2 linked regions of the Elephas maximus indicus genome follow. The protein of the gene in region 2 interacts with the protein of the main gene of each other region in a biochemical or structural test. Links are inferred from orthologs where the notes say so. Each region holds a gene or a part of one and is shown on either strand. Other genes may lie near its edges.

Region 1 (10,624 bases), about 32 Mb from region 2:
TAAACATCTACAACCAGTGGCCTCCTACCCACTCAGCTTCTGTCTTTTTCATATTCCCTTCTCCTCAAAGAACTGCTCATCCCAACTCTAGTCTGAGAAAGTCAGCTTCAACTGCTGATGGTCTCCTGATCAAATACAATTACTCTGGTTTTCAACCTTTTTGGGAGATTTTTTTCTCCCTACTTTTTTCTCTCACGAAAACCATGATGCTCCAGTCCATGGTTTCTGGTTTCTCTATGCTGAATTGTGATTTGGTTTTTTTTTAAATGCAGTTTTTCTAAATTTAGGAATAAAGTTTGAAACTTGCCTGCTTAATCCTGTAGTGGCTCTCCTTTGCATTTAGGACAAATTTATTTAGATTTCAGCTTTGGATGTGAGGCTCTTCAAGATTTTGCTCCTCCTTATGCACCTTATTTCCTTTCACTCCCATACACCAACCTGTAGGTACTCATTTCTCCTAGAAGTGTCTTCCGTTTTAATTTCTCCCCCCACTCCCCATACCTGCCCATCTCAATTATCTATTTGTCTCTGAGACAGTAAGTAAGACCTCCTCCCTTCCAAATACACATAGCTGTTGCATGGCTTTCATGAGTCTATTTACCTGTCTGTCCACCTAATGAACTATAAACTTGTAAGGCAGAAGGCTCCTTTCTCAGTGTTAGCATACACAAGTCATTCCCGTGAATGGTAACAAGGACTGTTGTAGCTATGCCTATTTTCTTCCTTCCTTCCTCGTTGGATGCATACATTTCTACGCATTACCTATTTCTTATCTTTTCTCCTTTTTCTTTAATATTGTATGGATACTAAATGTACAATTCAGTCTTTGGGTAGCAGATTATTCAGATGGGACTGTGGCAAAACTCGAGGAGTGGTTAATGCAGCCCAAAGATACTATTTCCACCAGGATGGATACAATGAATACTGGAACGTTTCAGCTCCTCAGTTTGGGAAGAGGGTGAGAAAGTCTTCCTTTGAACAAAGGATAGTTGAATTTTTTTTGGATGGAAACACTTATTTTGTTGTAGGGGAGAAGTTCACAGGTGCAGAAGGGTATGTGTGGATGCTGAGTAGCTAACGGGGTGGTCCGTGCCAGTTGTCTCAACTTCAGAATCACCTTTCTATACCTGCTTTGTGAAGCTATGGCTGGAACTCTGCCAACATTTCTGCTTTGCCAGCTGGCTGCATGGTGACTCTGCCAATAGGGGGTGCTAGAGGGAGGCTGCCAAGCTGGAGAAGGGACTTGCACATTCTGATTTGCTTCACATGGGCTTTCTCAGGGCCTCCAGCTCCTGTGGCACTCTAGCAGTGCTCCTTCACCCAGGCAGCAACAGTTCCTTTCCATAACAGCCACTGAATCCAGTCTTCAGCATTTCCACCACTTGCTGAACTAGCCTTATTATGTCCCCCTCTGAGACACCAGCATCAGTTCCCCAGTGCTCTCTCCAGAGGTCGGGGTCTCCGGCCAACAGTGCCCTTCCCCAGAATGCAGGGACACCAGCAATAGCTGAGCAGCAGTCCCTTCTCAAAGGTTGGAGCAGCAGCCCCCACCTCCTAGCTTCTGAGGTTTGATGATTCTAATCTCTTTGTCCCTTCAGGGTTGGGGTGGTAGTGATTTCTGTAGTTTGCTTACCAGTTATGACTTTTTTTTTTTTTTTTATGACTTAGGGTTCTCTTTGTCCTCTCAGCTATCTAGATAACAACTTTATACCTAGTTAGCTCTTTACATTAAGATCTACTTCAATCACCGATGTGGTTTCTCTCCTGACTGGACTCTAACTGATAATAATGGTAATGTTAATCTGTTTTGATTTTATAGGCTGGAAAACTCTTCTTGAAAAACATCCTAAATGCAATCGATCCATTTATGTGTTATTAAAAACTACATTGTGTTGTGACTTGAAATGGATAGCAGTGATGGCTGCACAATGAGGTGAATGTAATTAATATCACTGAATTGTACACTTAAAAATGGTTCAAAAGGCAAATGTTTTGTTATATATAAAGTCTCCAGGTGGTATAAGGGAGCCCTGGTGGCACAGTGGTTAAGAGCTCGGCTGCTAACCAAAAAGTTGACAGTTCAAATCCACCAGCCGCTCCCCTATGGGGCAGTTCTCCTTTGTCCTATAGAGTTGCTATGAGTCGGAATCGACTAGATGGTAATGGGTTTTTTTTTGGGGGGGGGGTGGTATAAACGGTTTGCACTTGACTACTAATCTAAAGGTTTGTGGTTTGAATCTACCTAGAAGTGCCACAGAAGAAAGACCCAGCAATTTGCTGCCATGAAGACTGAGCCAAGAAAAACCTATGGAGCAATACAACTCTGTAAATACGGGGTTGCCATGAGTTGGAACTGACTCGACAGCAATGGGTTTAGTTTTTGTTATACATATTTTACAAAAAAATAATATATATATATATATTTATGTGTATATATAAAGTACGAAACTGATAAATTCACCACACAGCCCTGCCATCCCACTCCTAGGAACCTAGGCAAAAAAAATGAAAAGCCAAATCCACACAAAGACATGAATGCAAATATTTAAGAGCAGCATCGTTCAAAGTAGCTAAAACCTGGAAACAACGAAAATGCCCATCAGCTGGTGAAGAGATACAGACTAAATGTGGTACGTCCATACACACAGGATATTATCAGCAGTAAAAAGGACTACTGATACCTGCTACAACACGGATGAACCTCAAAAACATGCTGGATGAAAGGAGCCTGACATAAAGGCTATATATTGTATGATTCCATTTATATGAAAAGTCCAGAAAAGGCAAATTTATAGAAATAGAAAACATATCAGTGGTTGCCTAGGGCTGTGGGTAGGGTCAGAGATTAATGACAAAAAAAAAAAGATTTGGGGGGGTGATGAAAATATTCTTAAACTTGATTGTGGTGATAGCTGCATAACTTTATAAAAGTACTAAAAATGTATACTTACAGAAGGTAAATTCTATGGTGTATAAATTTTGCCCAAGTAAATCTGTTTAAAAAATTGAAAAAAAATTACACTATATTCTTTTGGCTTCCAAGGCTATATTTACACAGTTTAAAATACCCACTTTGAATCCAGTACAAGAACTACAAAAGAGTATTCCAAAATGGTTTCTATTTATGGAGAATACCTGAAGTATTTGGGCAGCTATTTCTTCAAATCTGTCTTGATTAGGCAATGTCAAGTTCAACAACACATGGGTTGCAGGCATGGGCTAGATAGATGGTCCAGGATTGGATTGGCTGAAAAAATAACCTAGGCATTAGAGATTGTTTCTCATCATTGAAACTTGATATCGCACTCTCCTACCAGATATTATTTCTGACCAGAAAAAACTAAGCTTATTAAGTTTGGCAATTTTGATTCTAAAGTGAAATATTTTAAAGGAATTTGAGAAATGTGACCAAGTACTTTGAGAGGCCTGGGGGAGGGAATGGAAGCATATGGGTTCATTCAAGAAAGTTATAAAAGGCACAGTAATCTCACTACTTAAGACCAGGTATAAAAACTACCTAGTATTTATTGGAGGACTGGGCCGAAATGGAAGGATTCTAAGCGAGAGGGGTGATCTTGGTTTTACAGCAAAAAGTTTGCTCTTTGGACATTTAAGTCTAACTTTTTTTGCAGCATTGGAATTGTTTTAAAGGTGTTTGGTATCCTTCGTTTATATCCTTTCACTGAACCAAAGAGTCTGTTTTCGGATGATAGGGCAGTTACAAAAGACAAGGGAGAAAAAGTACCTTTATCATTAATTCCTGGGGAAAAGGGCTCGGCATGTTAGATTGCAATAACTATTATAGTAGGTCTCCAATAGAGGCCATACAAATTAGAAATGTATCTAACCAAAAACCAAAACCCATTGCCGTAGAGTCAATTCTGACTCATAGCAACCCTACAGGACAGAGTAGAACTGCCCCATAGAGTTTCCAAGGAGTGCCTGGCGGATTCGAACTGCCAACCCTTCGGTTAGGAGCCGTAGCACTTAGCCACTAAGCCACCAGGGTTTCCAGAAATGTATCTATAATCCCCAAAATAAGCAGAAAGTAAGCTCTGCTCATAGACTCCAAGATTCAAAAATAAACTCCATTTCCAAAACAATGTGAAAGGCTTAAAGAAAGACTTTAACAAAACTGTGTGTGTGTATATCATGTACCAGGGTGATAACATTCACCTTTCTCCTCAGGCTTAAAGAGCGAGCCCCCCCATCACGGACTTTTCCAAAGTCCAAGTGGTAGATGATAGAAGGCTTGCTTCCAGATTTGCTTCCCTTTGCTGAGAATAATCAGCTTAACTCCAACATTCGAAAGCACAATCCTTCCAACATGGTTACAGAATTGTCAGTCATGCCCATTTGCTTCAGCAGGTTTTAGAATGAATTGATTTTTGGAAAGAGATCAGTCCTGGTAAAGGGATCCTAAGGGCAGAACAATTCTCAGTTATTTCCTTTAATTACCTTTCCAGACTAGGTGCTGTTGAAGGAAGTATCTAGGTTACACTAAACTATGAGAGCTGCTTTCAAGCTCTAGTATGCAAAGAGGGCACAAGTGGATGTAGGAAAATCAAGTGGCAAACAGCCTTCTCATTTGTTGGGTTTAGTCCCAGGGGCCTTTCTAAACAAGGAGCACAAAATTAGTCAAGTAACATACACAAGGCATTAAGGCAGGGGTTACAAACCAGAGCTCAAAACATGCACAAAGGTTCACAGTTTCCCATCTAAGCTTGGTTAGTTATTGTAGTCCTCTGCGACAGGCTGTCTCCACTAGAAGCTTGAGCAGAGAAATAAGAAGCAACAACTGCAAACATGAGGATCTCAATGTATTGTATATTCTTGACTTATTTTTAAGGCCTCACATTAAACAGAAAATTGTAAATGGAATGTAAGTCCATAAAATTATGTCCCATTTGAGTGAAGATATCTAACTTGGATTTTGGACTTAATACAAACCTCCCTGAAAGAACCTGGGGACTTCCTCCTTCCATGTCACTAGAATCAGATGACTAGGAGAGATTCGAGAGCTTGCAACATCTTTCCTGGATTCTGAGAAAGCTCCAAGAGATGTAGGCTGGAAGACTACATGAGTCATCTTGGGATGACTGTGCCATTTGTACTAACAAGAATCAGCTATAGTTTGTCCCTTACTTAAAGTGATTCATGCAAAATGTCTAGAACTCTGGAACTGCCAGCATGATGGACACTGGTCAATCTGGGCTTTGCAGGGACAGAGTGGGCTGGCACTTTTTTTTATACTGCCGTATCCTTCCCACCAGCAGGAATGTAATGGTATCAACAATGCTGGTACTTAACCATTCTAGGATTCTGAAGCAATATGATGACACATACAAGTCTGTCTCTTCTATAACTCACCCCTGACCCCCAACCCCAGTGTACCTTCTTACCGTAATTATACAGAGTGAGCAGGAATTTGGTCAGTCTCAGAATGTGGATAAAACAAATAACTTGAGTTAAGGACTTATTTGATGGCAGCACCATTCCACAGATGACATAGAATCTGTTTTTAATGTTAAGGGGAATGGGGGAAACACCTAATATACCAAGTACTTAAAACATGTCAGCCCTATGAAAAAAGATGTATTGCCGCCATTTAATGAATAATGAAATGGGCTGGGCAAACCAGGATCAATAGCTAATAAGTTGCTGAGCTCAAAACTGAGCCTTGCCTAGATTCCCTTTTCTTCTGTATGTGCTCTCTTTTCTTGTCTTGCTTTGTTTTACAGAAATCTTAGCAACCCATTGTGAATCAGATGGAATAACACAGGTAAGCACAGTTAAAAATCCCATCGATTTTCATCTGCATTTTATAGGGTGTTTTCAAAAAGCCAGAAACCCACTGACTTTAACATACTAATTAACTTTTCAGAAAGAGCCACACAAAATGGACACAGAAAAGAGAAGCAAGGAGAGTCAAGACAAAGCAATATAAACGTCTTTGCTAGAATGTCTGGTACTTTGTCCTGGTCAGTGTATGTGTTTCCTTGTCCTTTGGAACCTTATGCCTGCCTCAGCTGAAGTGCTGAATTAGAACATGTGAAATATTAACCTTTAAGGCAAATCTCAGGGGCCAAGAGGCCAGCAAACAGCCTTCACCACTATCTTCAAAGCAGCCTTTTCAGAATAAGGGACCTTGCCCGAGATGCTGCAGCGAAGTTATGCTGTTTCCTCCCCCCCTTAACTGCTGGATGCCTATGCTTTTAGAAGGGCCAAGTTGAGCAGACAGTAAGAGTTTTGCAGCCTGTTTAACTGGGGAATAAGACTATGTTAACACACCCTGAAAAGGATTCCTTAAGAAGATTTTCCTGTAAATGCTGATGCTGCTGTAGGGGCCTCAGTAGCAGAATATGCTGGGATCAACGAACTATACACAAGTTACGTATTTACAGCAAGGACGTATCACTGTTTGTGGCCCTTGGAAACATTGCTGAGGACTCAGAGGGCATATGAAATCCTGAACCAAGACGCTTTTCCCCACCTTTGGAACCAAGCCAAATCAGAGTTGGAGTTCCCCAACCAGTAGATTTTGAGTAGAGGTGTGTTATGGATTAGACTCTATCCCCTCAAAATTTATGTTGGAATCCTAACCCCTATACTGATGGACGTAATCTAATGTAACCACTTTCCATAATGCAATCTGATGTAATGTGATCAATCATAGCAGCGTAGGGTGAATCCTAAACTTAATCACTTCTGAGTTTATGAAGAATAGATCAGACACAGGGAAAACAGACAACATGAGGTTGTCTACAAACCAAGGAACACTTGGGACTACCTATAAAGATGGAATCGACAAGGCTGAGACCCTGATTTGGATTTTTAGCCTCCAAAACTGTGAGAAAATAAATTTCTATTCCTTAAAGCCAACCACTTGTGGTATTTGTGTTACAGCAGCACTAAGAAACTAAGACAACATGGTATAGCGAAGTGGCTAAGAGTTCAGGCTTCGGCATCCCATACACCTGGAATGCACTGTCTTTTAGCTCTGTGGCTGGAGGCAACTTATCTGATATGAATTTCCTCACCTGTACAATGGAATATAGCTGACAGAGCCATTATACGGAAATCAGTAAGAATTTATGTAGAGACTTCCGTGCACTGCATACAGAAAGTGCTCATTAAACAGAAGTTAGGTTTCAGAGACACCAGAATCTTGTGTTGCATCCAACATAGCTTTAGCCACAAGTGTTTAAACGCATTTAGAACTTTAAGAGCTAGGACTAATAAGTAGAAGTGGAAACACATAGGGATAATACTTTAATTAGGAAAGCTCCAGGTGAAAAGGTAAGAGGGTTTGCTAATGTTAGAGCTACCTCCTGCCCAGCTCTGGCTTCTCAGCCTACAGAAGATAGGTTCTGATGGGAACAGAACTTTAGGAACAAAATCTAAGTTACCCAGAGAGGCCTGTCCTAATGGATCCCAAGTCAAACCCAAACCTGCATCATGACTATCGACAGTTTAGAAGGTCTACCTCACATCACCTGGGGAGTTTTTAAGATGTAGTTTTTAAGATAGAGATGTCCTCCAAATAAATTAAATCAGAATCTCTGGAGGAGACCAAGGTATCAATACAGTTTAAGGATTCCCAGGTGACTCCAATGTACAGACAAGTGTGAGAACCACTGGTCTACTTCAACAATCTTTTGTCCCCTTAAAGACATACCAAGTGTGTTAAACTATTGAGCTGGAAGAAACCTAGGGAATAATTTGGTCTCATCCTTTCCTTTTAAATATTAGGACACTGAGGGCAAGAAAGTATATGACTCGTCTACTTGGGGATAGAGCCAGTATTAGTAAAGATCTAGATCCTATAGCATGGGACCCTATTTCCCTATTCCTAGACATTGTATGTGTCAGTTTGTTTCTAAATTCTTTTTAAGCAGACTGTACAAAACGCATTACATAAAGACTGAACCAATCTTGCCTTCTTTTTAATAGATATACCAAGCAAAGAACAGGAAGGTAGCTTAGCAGAGTATTTTGAACATGGCATTTCATTCAGCTTTTCATTTGGTTTCTGAGCTACAACAGTAGAGGGATTTGATATGGTCTAATTATACATTGTCACTGGAGTTTTTTCTATCTTGGTAGCAGTAGCTAGACTTGGTCAAACTGACTCATTAATGTTGATTTGGCTCCTTGGAAGAAAGCATTCGGCTAGGTCAAAGATGCAACTCACAGATCAAAGAATTCAAATTTATTTCAGTACACTCTCTACTATTCAGTGCTTGGCCTTTTAGATATTTTTTTTCTTCTAAAGCCATGTAGGAAGTTTGAGTTCTTGAGTTGCCAACTTTGAATACACTCGACTCATTGTAAATGACTTCTCCTAATTTTCTACCCACCCCCACCCACTTTGCTTTTAAAATAAGCTTTTATTAGGAATATATCTAGTACAGCTTAAGGAACAGTCATCATTAGAAAGAGTGTTTAGGAGAATTCAAGCTTTAAAAGGAGCTCCCCAAAACGAAAACCAAACCCATTGCCGTCGAGTTGATTCTGACTCATAGTGACCCTATAGGACAAAGTAGAACTGACCCATTGAGTTTCCAAGGAGCATCTGATGGATTTGAACTGCGAACCTTTTGGTTAGCAGCTATAGCACTTAACCAGTATGCCACCAGGGTTTCCAAAAGGAACTCACTGCAGGTCAAATGGGGGCCCATTCTCTAGTCTGAGCTGTGCCACCCAATTGACTACAAGTTTCTGAAAAGTGCTCACGAGTTGAATTCTTAAGTTTATGATCAATTTTGCAACTATATTTTTACTCACTTGTTTCAGTACAATAACTATTAGTTTGAACATTTAGTTTACTAGGGCTAGAAAAACTATACTCCTAAAAAAAAAAACAAAAAAACAAAAAAAACTACTCGTAGAGTATGATCCAGCCTCTTGGTGAAGCTGGGCACAAGTTATACGCTTGCAGCAACAAAGACATGCACAAAGGATTGATCCTAGAATCCCTCCTTACACTTAACTCAGATTCTCAGAAAGTAAATAATGTTCGAATAGGCCTGCACCCTTTTGACTAGGTGGAATTTTTCCAAAGATGGACGCATGGGGCTTTGAGTTGGATTAATTGACATGAAAAGTATAGTCATCTCAACTTTAACACCCAGCCTACTATATGGGGGAAGAAATTCACATTCCACCCCAGCTCTCTAGGATGACCTCTAGACCTACCATAAACTGTACAGAACAGGAACACTGGAATCTAACTTTCTCCTTTAATTCACTTCTATGAGTGGAAGGACATGACCTTGAAATTGTGGTTTGTGGGAACTATTAAAAAAAGTCCATGGCTGTCTAGTTGATTCTGACTCATAGTGACCGTATAGGACAGAGTATAACTACCCCATAGGGTTATCCAAGAAGTAGCTGGTGGATTCGAATTTCTGACCTTTTGGTTAGTAATCAAAAGCTTAACCACTGATTATAGAGGTTCAAAAATCATGTTGCTGAAATTGCTTTACATTGCTGGCACTGGATCACTAGGGCTATGCTCTGCCCTGCTTCTTCTGCTAATATGGGCCATCTGGACATGGCTCAACAAGGCTATAATATGTGTACTTTGCATATCTCAAATGAGCTGGACAGGTCAGTGTTGTGGGTACAACTTGACATGGAAGACAGAATAGGGGTTTTCTGGGCTCATGTACAGTGTGCTTCAACCCAGTTTTACCAGAGCTCTCCATCTGGAGGTTATCACCCATTGATCTGCTAATGATGTGTTATTTGATTTCTTATCTGCTGTTATTGACTGGAAGAGATCCATATTTGTATACACTCCAAGAAAGGAGATCCAACAGGATGCAGAAATTATTGAACAATATCATTAATATCACATGCAAGTAAAATTTTGCAGAAGATCATGCAAAAACCGTTACAATAGTACATTGAAAGGGAACTGCCAGGAATTCAAGTTGATTTAGAAGAGGACGTGGTAAAAGGTATATCATTGCTGATGTCAGATGGGTCATGGCTGAAAGCAGAGAATACCAGAAAAATGTTTGCTTGTGTTTTGTTGACTATGCAAAGGCATTCGACTGTGTGGGTCATAAGAAATTATGGCTAACATTGAGAAGGATGGGAATTTCAAAACACTTCATTGTGCTCATGTGGAATCTGTACATACATCAAGAGGCAGTGCTTCCAATAGAATGAGGGGATAATGCATGGTTTGAAGTCAGGAAAGGTATGCGTCAGGTTTGTATCCTTTCACCACACTTATCCAATCTGTATGCTGAGCAAATAATCGGAGAAGCTGGACTATATGAAGAAGAACTGTGCATCAGGATTGGAAAAAGAGTCATTAACAACCTGAGATATTCAACCTACTTAGCTGGAAGTAAAGAGGACCTGAAGCACTTACTGATGAAGATCAAGGGCCACAGCCTTCAGTATGGGTTACACCTCAACATAAACAAAAATCTTCACAACTGGACCAATTAGCAACATCATGATAAACGGAGAAAAGATTGAAGTTGTCAAGGATTTCATTTTACTTGGATCCACAATCAATACCCGTGGAAGCTGCCGTCGAAAAATCAAATGATGTATTTTATTGGGCAAATCCGCAGCAAAAGATCTCCATAAAGTGTTAAATAGC
Region 2 (10,521 bases):
TACAACCGATGACTGCCCTGACAGGGAAAACAACAGAGAACCCCTGAGGGAGCAGGAGACCAGTGGGATGCGGACCCCAAATTCTCATAAAAAGACCAGACTTAATGGCCTGACTGAGGCTAGAAGGACCCCGGTGGTCACAGCCCCCAGACTTCTGTTGGCCCAGGACAGGAACCATTCCCAAAGCCAACTCTTCAGACATGGATTCGACTGGACAATGGGATGGAGAGGGATGCTGATGAGGAGTGAGCTTCTTGGATCTGGGGGAAACTTGAGTTTATGTTGTCATCTCCTGCCTGGAGGGGAGATGAGTGGGTACAGGGGATTAGAAGCTGGAGAAATGAACACGAAAAGAGAAAGTGGAGGGAGGGAGCGGGCTGTCTCATTAGGAGAAGAGCGATTGGGAGTATGTAGCAAGGTGTATACGGGTTTTTGTGTGAGAGACTGACTTGATTTGTAAAACTTTCACTTAAAGTACAATAAAAATTTTTAAAAATGTTCACAGAAACATTATTATAATAGTCAAAAACATCAAACAAAGCTATGCTCAAAGCTCAATTAACAAAAAACAAAACAATTTTAAAATGTTAAGATGCAATTAAGAATTAAGTTAGCAAACTTCAAAAACACATTCATAAATCAAAAAAAATGTAAAGCATTTATAAGAACGTCAATTATCTTGTAGTAAACAATCTTGATAAGTGTTTTTAAAAATTGCAATTATAAAACCTAATAGCTAAAATTGACAAACTGATCCTGAAATTCATACAGAAATGCAAGGGACCCTGGATAGCCAGAACAATTTTGAAAAAGAAGAACTGAATTGGAAGATGCATACTTCCCCATTCCAAAACTTACTACAAAGCTACAATAATCAAAACAGTGTGGCACTGTAATAAAGATGGACAATGGAATAGAATTGAGAGTCCAGAAATAAATGCTCTTTTATCATCAATTGATTTCCAACAATGATACCAAGAGTATTCAAAGGGGGGTGGGTGGTCTTTTAAAAAAATGGTGCTGGGACATCTGGACAGCCACATGCAAAAGAATGAAGTTATACCTCTTCCTTGCACCATACACAAAAATTAACTCCAAGTGGATCATAAACCTAAACGTAAGAGCTAAAACTATAAAACACATAGAAGAAAAAAAATAAAAATAGAAGAAAACATAGAAGTAAATCTTTGTAATCTTGGGTTAGGCAAAGGGTTTTAGATAGGACACCAAAAGCATAAGTGATATCTATCTATATGGGATCAAACTGACAATGACAACTCGAAAGATTAGATAGGAAACTTAGGGGGCAGTGAGTTTATGTTAAAGGGAGAGGACCAACTCAGAAAAGGAGGGTGAGAATGGCTGCACAACTCAAAGACTGTAATCAGTGTCACTGACTTGTACAGGTAGAAGGTGTTAAACTGGTGTATGTTTTCCTTGCATATTTTCAACAATGGAATAATTTTTTTTAACAAAAGCACAACTGATCAAAGAAAAGGGATAAATTGGAGTTCATCAAAAACACTTCTGCTTCAAAAGGCACCATTAAGAAAGTGAAAAGACAACCCATAGAATAAGATGAAACATTTACAAACCATATATCTGATAAGAAACTTGTAACCAGAATATATTTAAAAGCCTTACAACGCAATAATAAAAAGACAACCCAATTAAAATACGGGCAATGAATCTGAACAGACATTGCTCCAAAGAAGATATATAAACAGGCAATAAGCACATGAAAAGATGCTCAACATCTTTAGTTATCAGGGAATTGCAAATCATAACTACAATGAACTACTTCTTCACACCCACTACGATAGCTAATATGAAAAAGACGGGAACCCTCAGACATAGCTGGCGGACTTGTAAAATGGCACAGCCACTCTCAAGAATAGTTTGGCAATTCTCAAAATGTTAGAGTCTACCCTATGATCTAGCAGTTCCACTCCTTTGCTATATACCTCAAAGAAATAAAAACATGTTCCTCAAAGAAATAAAAACGTGTCCACCCAAAAAATTTGCATACAGATGTTCATAACAGCATTATTCTGAGCAGTCAAAAACTGGAAATAACCCAAATGTCCATAAACTGATAATGGATAAATAAAATGTGGTCTATACATTTTTTTTATACATACAATGGAATATTACTCAGCAATAAAAGGGAATGAAGTCCTGATTCATGCTACAACATGAACCTTGTAAACACGCTAAGTGAAAGGAGGCAGTCACAAATTACCATATACTATGAGATTCCATTTATACAAAATGTTCAAAATAGGCAAATCTATACAGACACAAAGTGGATTAGTGGTTGCCAAGGCCTGGGGGGAAAAGAAATGGGGTATGACTGCTAATGGGTACGGGGTTTCTTTCTAGAGTGATAAAATTGTTCTAAAATTGATTGTGGTGATAGTTGCACGCCTCTGTGAACATATTAAAAACCACTGCATTGTACACTTTAAATAAGTTTATTGTATGGTAAAAAAAAAAAAAAAAACAACCTAGATGTCTAGTATTATGTTGCTTCTGGAAAACGAGTAAAATTTAAGACAAAGAACTATTAATCGATTTGATCACCAAGCGAGTCCATGCTTGAGATACTTAGAATTAAGAATTTAGGATACATTCCTTACTAACGGAAATATTTCTCCTTTAAATATTTCTAAATCTTAATTAAAATGGAAGTGCAGTATCTGCAACTGTCAGGACATAAAAATAAAATTCAGCCAAAATACGTGAGTAAACAAGCTACTTTCCTGTACATGGCCTGAACTGTACTTGCCATTACAACAAACAATAACTGCAGAAAAACATCCCACAGGGAAAGTGAGAAGTCATTCTCAAAAGAGAATATAATACTAAGAAGAGGGGTGTGGAAAGAATGAGGAACGGGAAAGAGCGCAGGGGATAAAGCGAGGTCTTAGTACATTTAAGCCCAACCAGTTCACTTGTATTAAATTCAAATTCTATATGCTTTGTGAACAGGCCCAAAGGCAAATACTGGGCACAGACCAACGAGCTGAGCTGCGAGGCCGAGAGGAAGTGCTTATCCAGCCCAACCCAGCACGGGATTTCGCGTGGAAATGGTGGGGGGCAAAGGGGATAAGATGGGGGCCTGTGGTGCGAGACGGCAGCTGGTCGCCTTTCCACCCGGCTCTAGCCTGCGCTCCCAGGCTGCGCGCAACGGGAGGCGGCCGCGTCGCCCGCCCGTCCTTCGCGTCCGAGCCGCCGCGCACACCCCTTGCGGAGCGCGCCCGGCGCCGGGAGCCTCCGGTGGGGCCGAGTCCCGTCTCCCGCCCCATCCGGCGCTTTGTCCTGAGCCCAGGAGAACAGCGGCCCCTCGGCGTCCTCGCCGCGGGCTGTGGAACCACGCTGATAGCCCCCGTCCCCGGCACGGCAGCGTCCCTAGGCGTCCGGGTCGCCCGGCGACCCGTAGCAGGCCGGACGACCCGTAGCCGGCCGGGAGAGCCGCAGCCAGGCGGGACCCAGAAGAAGGCGGTCCAAGGACGCTCGCCCTGCCGGGGGAGCCGCCACCGCCCCTCGCATACACAGGCCGACGTCAGGCACCCAGTGTCCGACACCGAAACCCACACAATTTCCAACATACTTCTCTTACCCAAAAATTCTCAACGAAATGCGCCATGACCATCGTGCCGCCGCGCCGGGTTCCGCGTCCGCGCCCGTCCGCTTGCCCGCCACTGTGTAAACACGGACCCGGCCCCCACGGCGCCGCCGCCGCCGCCGCCGCCTTCTTCTCAGTGACCGGCCCTCAGCCTTCAGGGCGCATGCGCCACCTAGCGGCTACTGCCGCCGGGCGAAAACTTGGACTACACAGCCTCGTTGAGCGCATGCGCCCTGGGATCTATTCCCGGGTTTTGGTCGCTTTCATCTCGCCCCAGCCTGGGCGCGGCTAGATTTGAGTATTCTCTTGGGAGTGGTGGAAAACCATGTCCCTGAGGAGTCACTGGGGAGACTGCCCGATCCCTCTGCAGTGTGACGATACTGGCCAGGAATCGAACCTAGGGAGGGGCCGGCTGGCGGCAGTGAAGCCCGCCTTCTTCACAAGGCTAGTTCCCCTGGCCTTCAAAGATCCCGAGTGGACCAAAGTCTAGGCAAGCTGGAATGGAGGCAACTTGGCCTCTAGCCACCTGAGGCGACGCTGAGAAACTTCGAGTTAACAGGGTGCCTTTCCTTGACCGGGAACTAAGAGCCAAAACAAAACTTTCCGAGGCCGGAAAAGGAGGAAACGCCCAGTGTCGCCTGAGAGCCACAGGAGCTGCGCGAGATCCAGAGCAGCCCGAGTCCCTGACCTCTAGCACGCCTGGAGCAAACCGGCCCAGACAGCCAAGAGCAGGAACGTGACCCGAAAGGAATGAATTTCCCTGACCCATGCAGTTTAAAAAAAAAAAAAAACTCTTTCAGGACTTGTTCGTAAGAGTCCATGGTTCTTAGCAACTTGTACATTTTGGAAAAAGAAGCAAGTTTTAACATGCCTCGACCTCACAGAGAAACTAAATCCTCTTCCCACGCCTTGCTTTCCAAAAGCTAAAAAAAAAAAGTTAAACTTTTGTTGAGGTCTCACGTTCACTATCACCAGGTCATTTGCCAAAAGTGTAGGAAAGTCTAGTTCTATCAAAAGCTAGGTTCGGAATCTATAGCCTTTGAAGCCAAGCCCCACAAATAGCTTTAGTGTACGCTATACTATATATGTACATGCACACCGCATCTCAGGTCTTGTAACTTTAAACATAATGAACACTATAAAACTATTTCTTCATGGGAAATTATTTTCATCCTCCAAAGTAAAAACCGTGCAGTGCCTTTCACATAGATGAAACCAGTAAGTGTTGAATTGGGAATGGTTGTGATAGTGGTTTTGTGGCTATATCTTTTAAAGAGTATCTTTTAGGGATATATAGGATGTAATGATAAGACATCTATGATTTGCTTCAAAATAATTTACTGAGGAAGAGGGGATGAGTAGGAATATAGATGAAACAGGATTGACCATGAGTTGATAATTGTTGGAGCTGGGTGATGGAAACACGGTGGTTCATTACATTAGTTTCTCCATTTTTGTATGTATTTGAGATTTACCAGGATAAAGGCTTTTTTAAAAGTTTGGACTACATTGGAAAATGCTATTTCTTTCATTAAGCTGTATTTTTAAAGTCTTTTTAACAATGCCATTTATACATAGTCTAGGGGAAAGTCAAACTTAGAAATATACTACAGCGCTTTCCAAGTCATCAACCTAGTGCTATCTTTCTTGATGCGGAAGACGTACTAAAAAGATAACAGCTGTCTAGATTACCCTGCAAATGAGTTTGCCATTAAATTCCTGATATCTTAAGTACTATCACCCTTAGGTGCAGGCAAGACAGGTCACTATCATTGGCCCTATGCTTCAAAGAACCCAACATATCACAAACACACATACACACATTCACTTATTAAAAAAATGAAATATATTGTGCCTCTGTCACTCATGATCTGATGTTGAACACTGGCACAGTACGACCCATAACCCTAAATACGCTCCCACGACCAAACCATTCAGGTCCCAGAGAAACACTCAGCTTCACATCTCTGCCTAATGTCCTCAAAACAAAAGGTAGGTTCCAAATGCAGTGAGAGTCTGTGGGATATGGCTGCTAACAGAGATAGATTATTTTGGACTTCATGTAGAATTTGAGCAGCAGAAGTGCTTAGGTAAAGAGAAGACTTATTGATTTGTCAAATCCATCCTCTCAGCTTGAATGCAATAGATTCTTGTATAACAAAGCATAGTTCCCCAGTAGTGTCAAGTATAGATTTTCCTTCTCTAAATCTGGAGTGTCACAATTAGAAGCCCTGGTGGTGCAGTGGTTAAAGCACTAAGCAGCTAACCAAAAGGTTCTAAGAGGTTGAACCTACCAGATCCCTCATAGGAGAAAGACGTGGCAGTCTGCTTCTGTAAAGATTTATAGCCTTGAAACCCTAAGGCTCAGTTCTACTCTGTCTTCTGGGGTCACCAAGAGTCGGTATGGACTCGACAGCAGTGGGTTTGATTTTTTTTTGGAATGTCCCAATTTGAGGCATTAGTGGTTCATGGTAGAATTCTCAGCTTCCATGAGGGAGACTGGGCAACATGTCATTCCATTGTGTCTGGGGTCACCTCGAGCTGGGGACCAACTCAATGGCAGGTAACAATAATAGGGTCTCAATTTGTGGTTCCAAAAGTACAATTTAGCATAGTATTCACAGGAGATGCCTATTTGCATGCTTATCTCTGGTCCCATAAAAGAGGCGTGCCTGCCATAAAGATAAATACTCTGTGTATTTCAGGTATTTGTAAGGCTCATTAGAGCCCAAACCCCATATTCTTTAAAGTCTGGTAGGTAAGTTGTAGGACTCTGTACTGAATAGTCATTAAGGTGACTAAATTTCAGATGAAAGAGTATAGCATAGAAGAATGTGGTTGGTATCAGCCAGCTTCTGTCCTCTGAAGTGAGGTTTCCAGGGATGCATATACTCTCTGGCAGAGTATAGATAAGGCCCTGAGGGGTAGCTCACCCAGATACCTTAAAATATTTGTGCCGCACAAGCTTAGCCCTTGCTTATCCAAACACATTTTAAAATTATTAAAACTGACATAGGTAACAACAGTGTTTAACTCAGTGCCTATAATACCTATCACTACATGTGTGACTACTCAGTGAATGTTCAGTGAAAGAACGGATGAGTGATTGAGCCTACCATAGAAACGTCAACATGGATGAAACCTTGGATATGTAAAAACTCCATTCTTCTTTTATTCATATCCCTAATTGGTTCTAGATCTTAGAGCCTGTAAAATTTTCATTGTTTTATTTTCTCACATTACATATTTTCAGAAGAATTCTTTTAGGCTTGAGCATACTTCTTAAAAGGACAAAACTACCTTTTGTAATAAAATTGAAATAATATTTAAGATTTGGCTCCCCTAAACAATATGACCTTCAATTTTTGGTTGTTTCCACCTCCAGGTTCATCTTCCTCAGAGAGTCTCTCTCTGTTACACCTGCCACCAACATGTTGGTTTCCAGGGGTGCTATTGCTTTCCATTGAACTCTGGCCCAAATATTACATCATAGCCTATACCACACATGATCTGTTAAAACATAACTCGATAAAAGTGGCAGCAAGTAAAAGAAGAAATTAACACAAATAAGAGGAGAAATTAACGCAAAATAAATCTACATTTCCTGGTTTACAAAATATAGCTTGTCTCCAAGACAGGTCCCAACCTCTTAGGCAAGGAATCCAGAGAACCTTCCCCTTTTCATTTCTTATTTTAGTCTCCTCCCATTTCCAGTCCTGGGTTCACAGCCCACAGCACAGTAATCAACATTTAGTCACAAGGGTCATTTCCTTATAACTTCACTTAAAATTAGTTCTATTCCAGAAGAGTTGGCTATAAAGTAAAACACATTTTCCCATTTATATTCAATATAATTTTGCAAATGTACTTCCATTTGTTTCCAAAAGTAGAATGGCAGAGGAGAAGCTCTCACAAACCCCTCTTGTTTCCTGCTAATTTCTTCAAGGAGCAGCACCAGATATAGTTGTCCTCTGTACTCATACTTGACAGTAACAAGTGGCAAAAGACCTGAGCTCTATAAGGGAGAAGAGAAACAGGCAGATCCCTGAAGTCTGGTATTTTCTTGTTTTTCTCATGCTCAATAGTAGCATATTGAAAGCAAAAGCTTTGTGCAAAACAGAAAGAAAAGCAAGAGCTTAGCAGATGGTGCCCAGGCAGGCTGCTGTGCTAGGGTGAGGGGGTAGAAACATGTTAATCAAACTGCAGAACAGAGCTAAACATCACCCTCCACACACCCTTTTCAATTCACACTGTTTGCCATGCGTACCTTTCTTCTCTCTTCAGTGGACCTGAGGATGATCAACTGCCTGCTTCCTGCTGAGGCATAACCTCTTTTTCCAGAATGAGATGTACTTTCTCAGGGGCTCCCTTACCTTGCTGTCTTCAGAAGAAGTACAAAAACACCTGGCAGATTGTTCAGAGATTTACACTGTTAGTGACCACAGGGAATCTAACAGGGGTTTCAGAAGTAAGAAAAGAGGAATTACTAAATCACAGTACATAAAATAAAAAATATAATGATGCTAATGTGAAAATGTGTCATTAATGGTAAATGGAAAACCTGAAAATGAAATGGAAAATACATTAAAGCTACAAGTGTGTAAAAGTATACCTGCAATTGGCCAAAAATCAAAAGAAAACATGGAAAATGAAAAAAAAAAAAAATGTGTACGTGTCAGGGTGGTGATATTGTGGCAATATTAAAAATTAAAAATTTATTTTAATGTAATAACACTGTACAACTTAAATAGAAATAGTTGTTCTTTGTTTTTGTTTGAATGTAAATATAACTGGGCCTAATATTCTTCAAAGTCTTTATTGATTCTTTCCTCTCTTTCATTTATTCAGGCAATAGATATTACTTTTATTGAGTACTTATTTAAATGAAAACACCATCTCAGCTCTTAAGAAATTCACAATCTAACATAGGCTAATGATGAGGAGATTGGTAGAGATGATGATAATAATAACAATAGTGTGCCTGAAAGCGTACCTGGCACATAGTTGGTGCCCAATGAATATTTGTTAAATAAAAAAACGAATCAATATTTCTTCCAGAAGGATAAGCTCAAAGAAAATTAATTTATGCTTTTTCTTTTTTTTTTTTCACAAGGAAATTGCCCTGGATTAACTGAAGGTATCCTTCATTATTAGCGCAGTGGTTTTAGGGTCTAGGGGGTAGTGGAGTCTGGAGCAACCAGAAATTGTAACCACAGAAGCCCAAGCAAGAGGCACTCTTGGCTGAGCTTAGAACGGAGGGAGTGGGCCTGGTCTCACTCAAAGAGCCACTGACACCTGATCAGGGATCTGAGTCACTGATGGACCAGCACCAGGTTTCAGCAGTAACACGGTATACTAGTAAAAAGCAAAGTCCCTGAGGTTCTCAGACGACTGAAGGGAAGCAGGGACTCCCATTCATCTGTATTTAACAAACATTTATTGAATACCTATATTGAGCTAGGTCCTCATCTAGACACTGGGGATACAATGGTGAACAAGACCGATAATTTTGCTGCCCTCATGGCACCTAATTAGTGTGGGAAGACAGACCATAAGTGTGTAAATAAGTCTTGATCAGTTAATTCGAAAAAAAATAAGAATTATATCTGTAATTTAGTTCAGCATGTTAAAGCACCTTTCACATATTATCTCATGTGTGATTAAAATAAAATAATTATTATCCCAGTTTTACAGATGAGAAAATATGCTCTTGGGGGTTAAATAAATTATCCAAGGTCACATAACTAATAAGTGGTAAACTACTATTAATTTAGCACTACAATAGAGTCATGAACAAAGTGTTACGGAGAAAGGGAAGTGAAGCCTCAAGCAAAAAAGCGCTTTAAAAGAAGAAGGTTGGTCAAGGTGAGAGACTCATCTACCCTGGGCTTTTACTTGTGGGTTTCTTTGTTTGTTTGTTTGTTTTTAACTTGTAAGTTTAATGTTTATCAGTTTCCAATTCTTCCCACAAAGAAGTCTGTTCCTTGGTTATCTTTTGCCTATCCCAGGTGCTCTAAATGAGCGTGGATGCTAACTAACAAGAATTCCATAAAAATTTCAAGGAAATTTATTATATATTGCTCCTTTAAAAAAATTTTCTCTCCTCACTGTAATTCCTGAAACATGTAAGAAATATAATTGTTCAAAAACTCAGATTCTAGTCAAAATCTAGGGTTGTCCCACACTAAACAGGACATCTGGCCATTGTAGCAGAAGCCAGTCCCTTTTTATAGGCAGAAGGAAGCAGACAACCAAATTCAGCCTGTAAATGTGGCTGTGATATTCTCTGTCAAAATCCTTAAGAAAGACCACTAAATTCTGATTATCTTTTGCAGGGAGGCAATTCCACTGGACAGAACTGACTAGCTCCAAAGGTGACAAAATAAAATTTTTTGTTTCTAGTCCTAAAAATTCACTGGATGACATCTGCCCTGATATACTTTTCTTCACAGTGCTTCAAGAACAAATTGTCACCAACTAGTCTTATTTTTTTTCCATTTAGGTGCAGAAAATGTATGCTAATTTTCTATTCTCACTTCCCACATTGCAGCTAAAACCAATTCTTTCATTATTTAAAGCTATTTTCAAATATATTCTCCAAGACAGAAACATTACCAAGCCATTATCTTCTGCATGATCTCACTTATGTTTATTTTTTTCTTCATATTTATTAATATATCCTTTAGATTGAGTTATTATCCTGTCAAAAAAAAACCCATACTATTTATTTATAGCTTCTTTCTTTTTCTTTTCTTTTCTTTGGAGGGGGCAAGTATATGTATTTGTGTTGGTGGTGGCAGTTGAAGGGGTTCATCCTTATTTCTTAACTCTTAAATGGACATTATTAAACGTACTGGCAGGGTGTTCCAAGATGGCAGCATAGTCAGATGCCT

The links. The genes of interacting proteins can lie anywhere in the genome.
Region 1: the proteins of FCHO2 (region 2) and DAB2 form a complex in vitro, tested with the Homo sapiens proteins (2 studies listed by BioGRID). The link is inferred for Elephas maximus indicus from reciprocal best matches to the Homo sapiens genes FCHO2 and DAB2.

What each region holds. Positions count from the first base shown.
Region 1 is NC_064820.1:45,207,615-45,218,238, forward strand, and holds the start of DAB2 (disabled homolog 2), read right to left. Parts: upstream 3,990-10,624; 5' UTR 3,217-3,989; coding exon 3,136-3,216; intron 1-3,135. UniProt on the Homo sapiens protein: Adapter protein that functions as a clathrin-associated sorting protein (CLASP) required for clathrin-mediated endocytosis of selected cargo proteins.
Region 2 is NC_064820.1:76,967,442-76,977,962, reverse strand, and holds the start of FCHO2 (F-BAR domain only protein 2), read right to left. Parts: upstream 4,222-10,521; 5' UTR 3,656-4,221; coding exon 3,623-3,655; intron 1-3,622. UniProt on the Homo sapiens protein: Functions in an early step of clathrin-mediated endocytosis. Has both a membrane binding/bending activity and the ability to recruit proteins essential to the formation of functional clathrin-coated pits.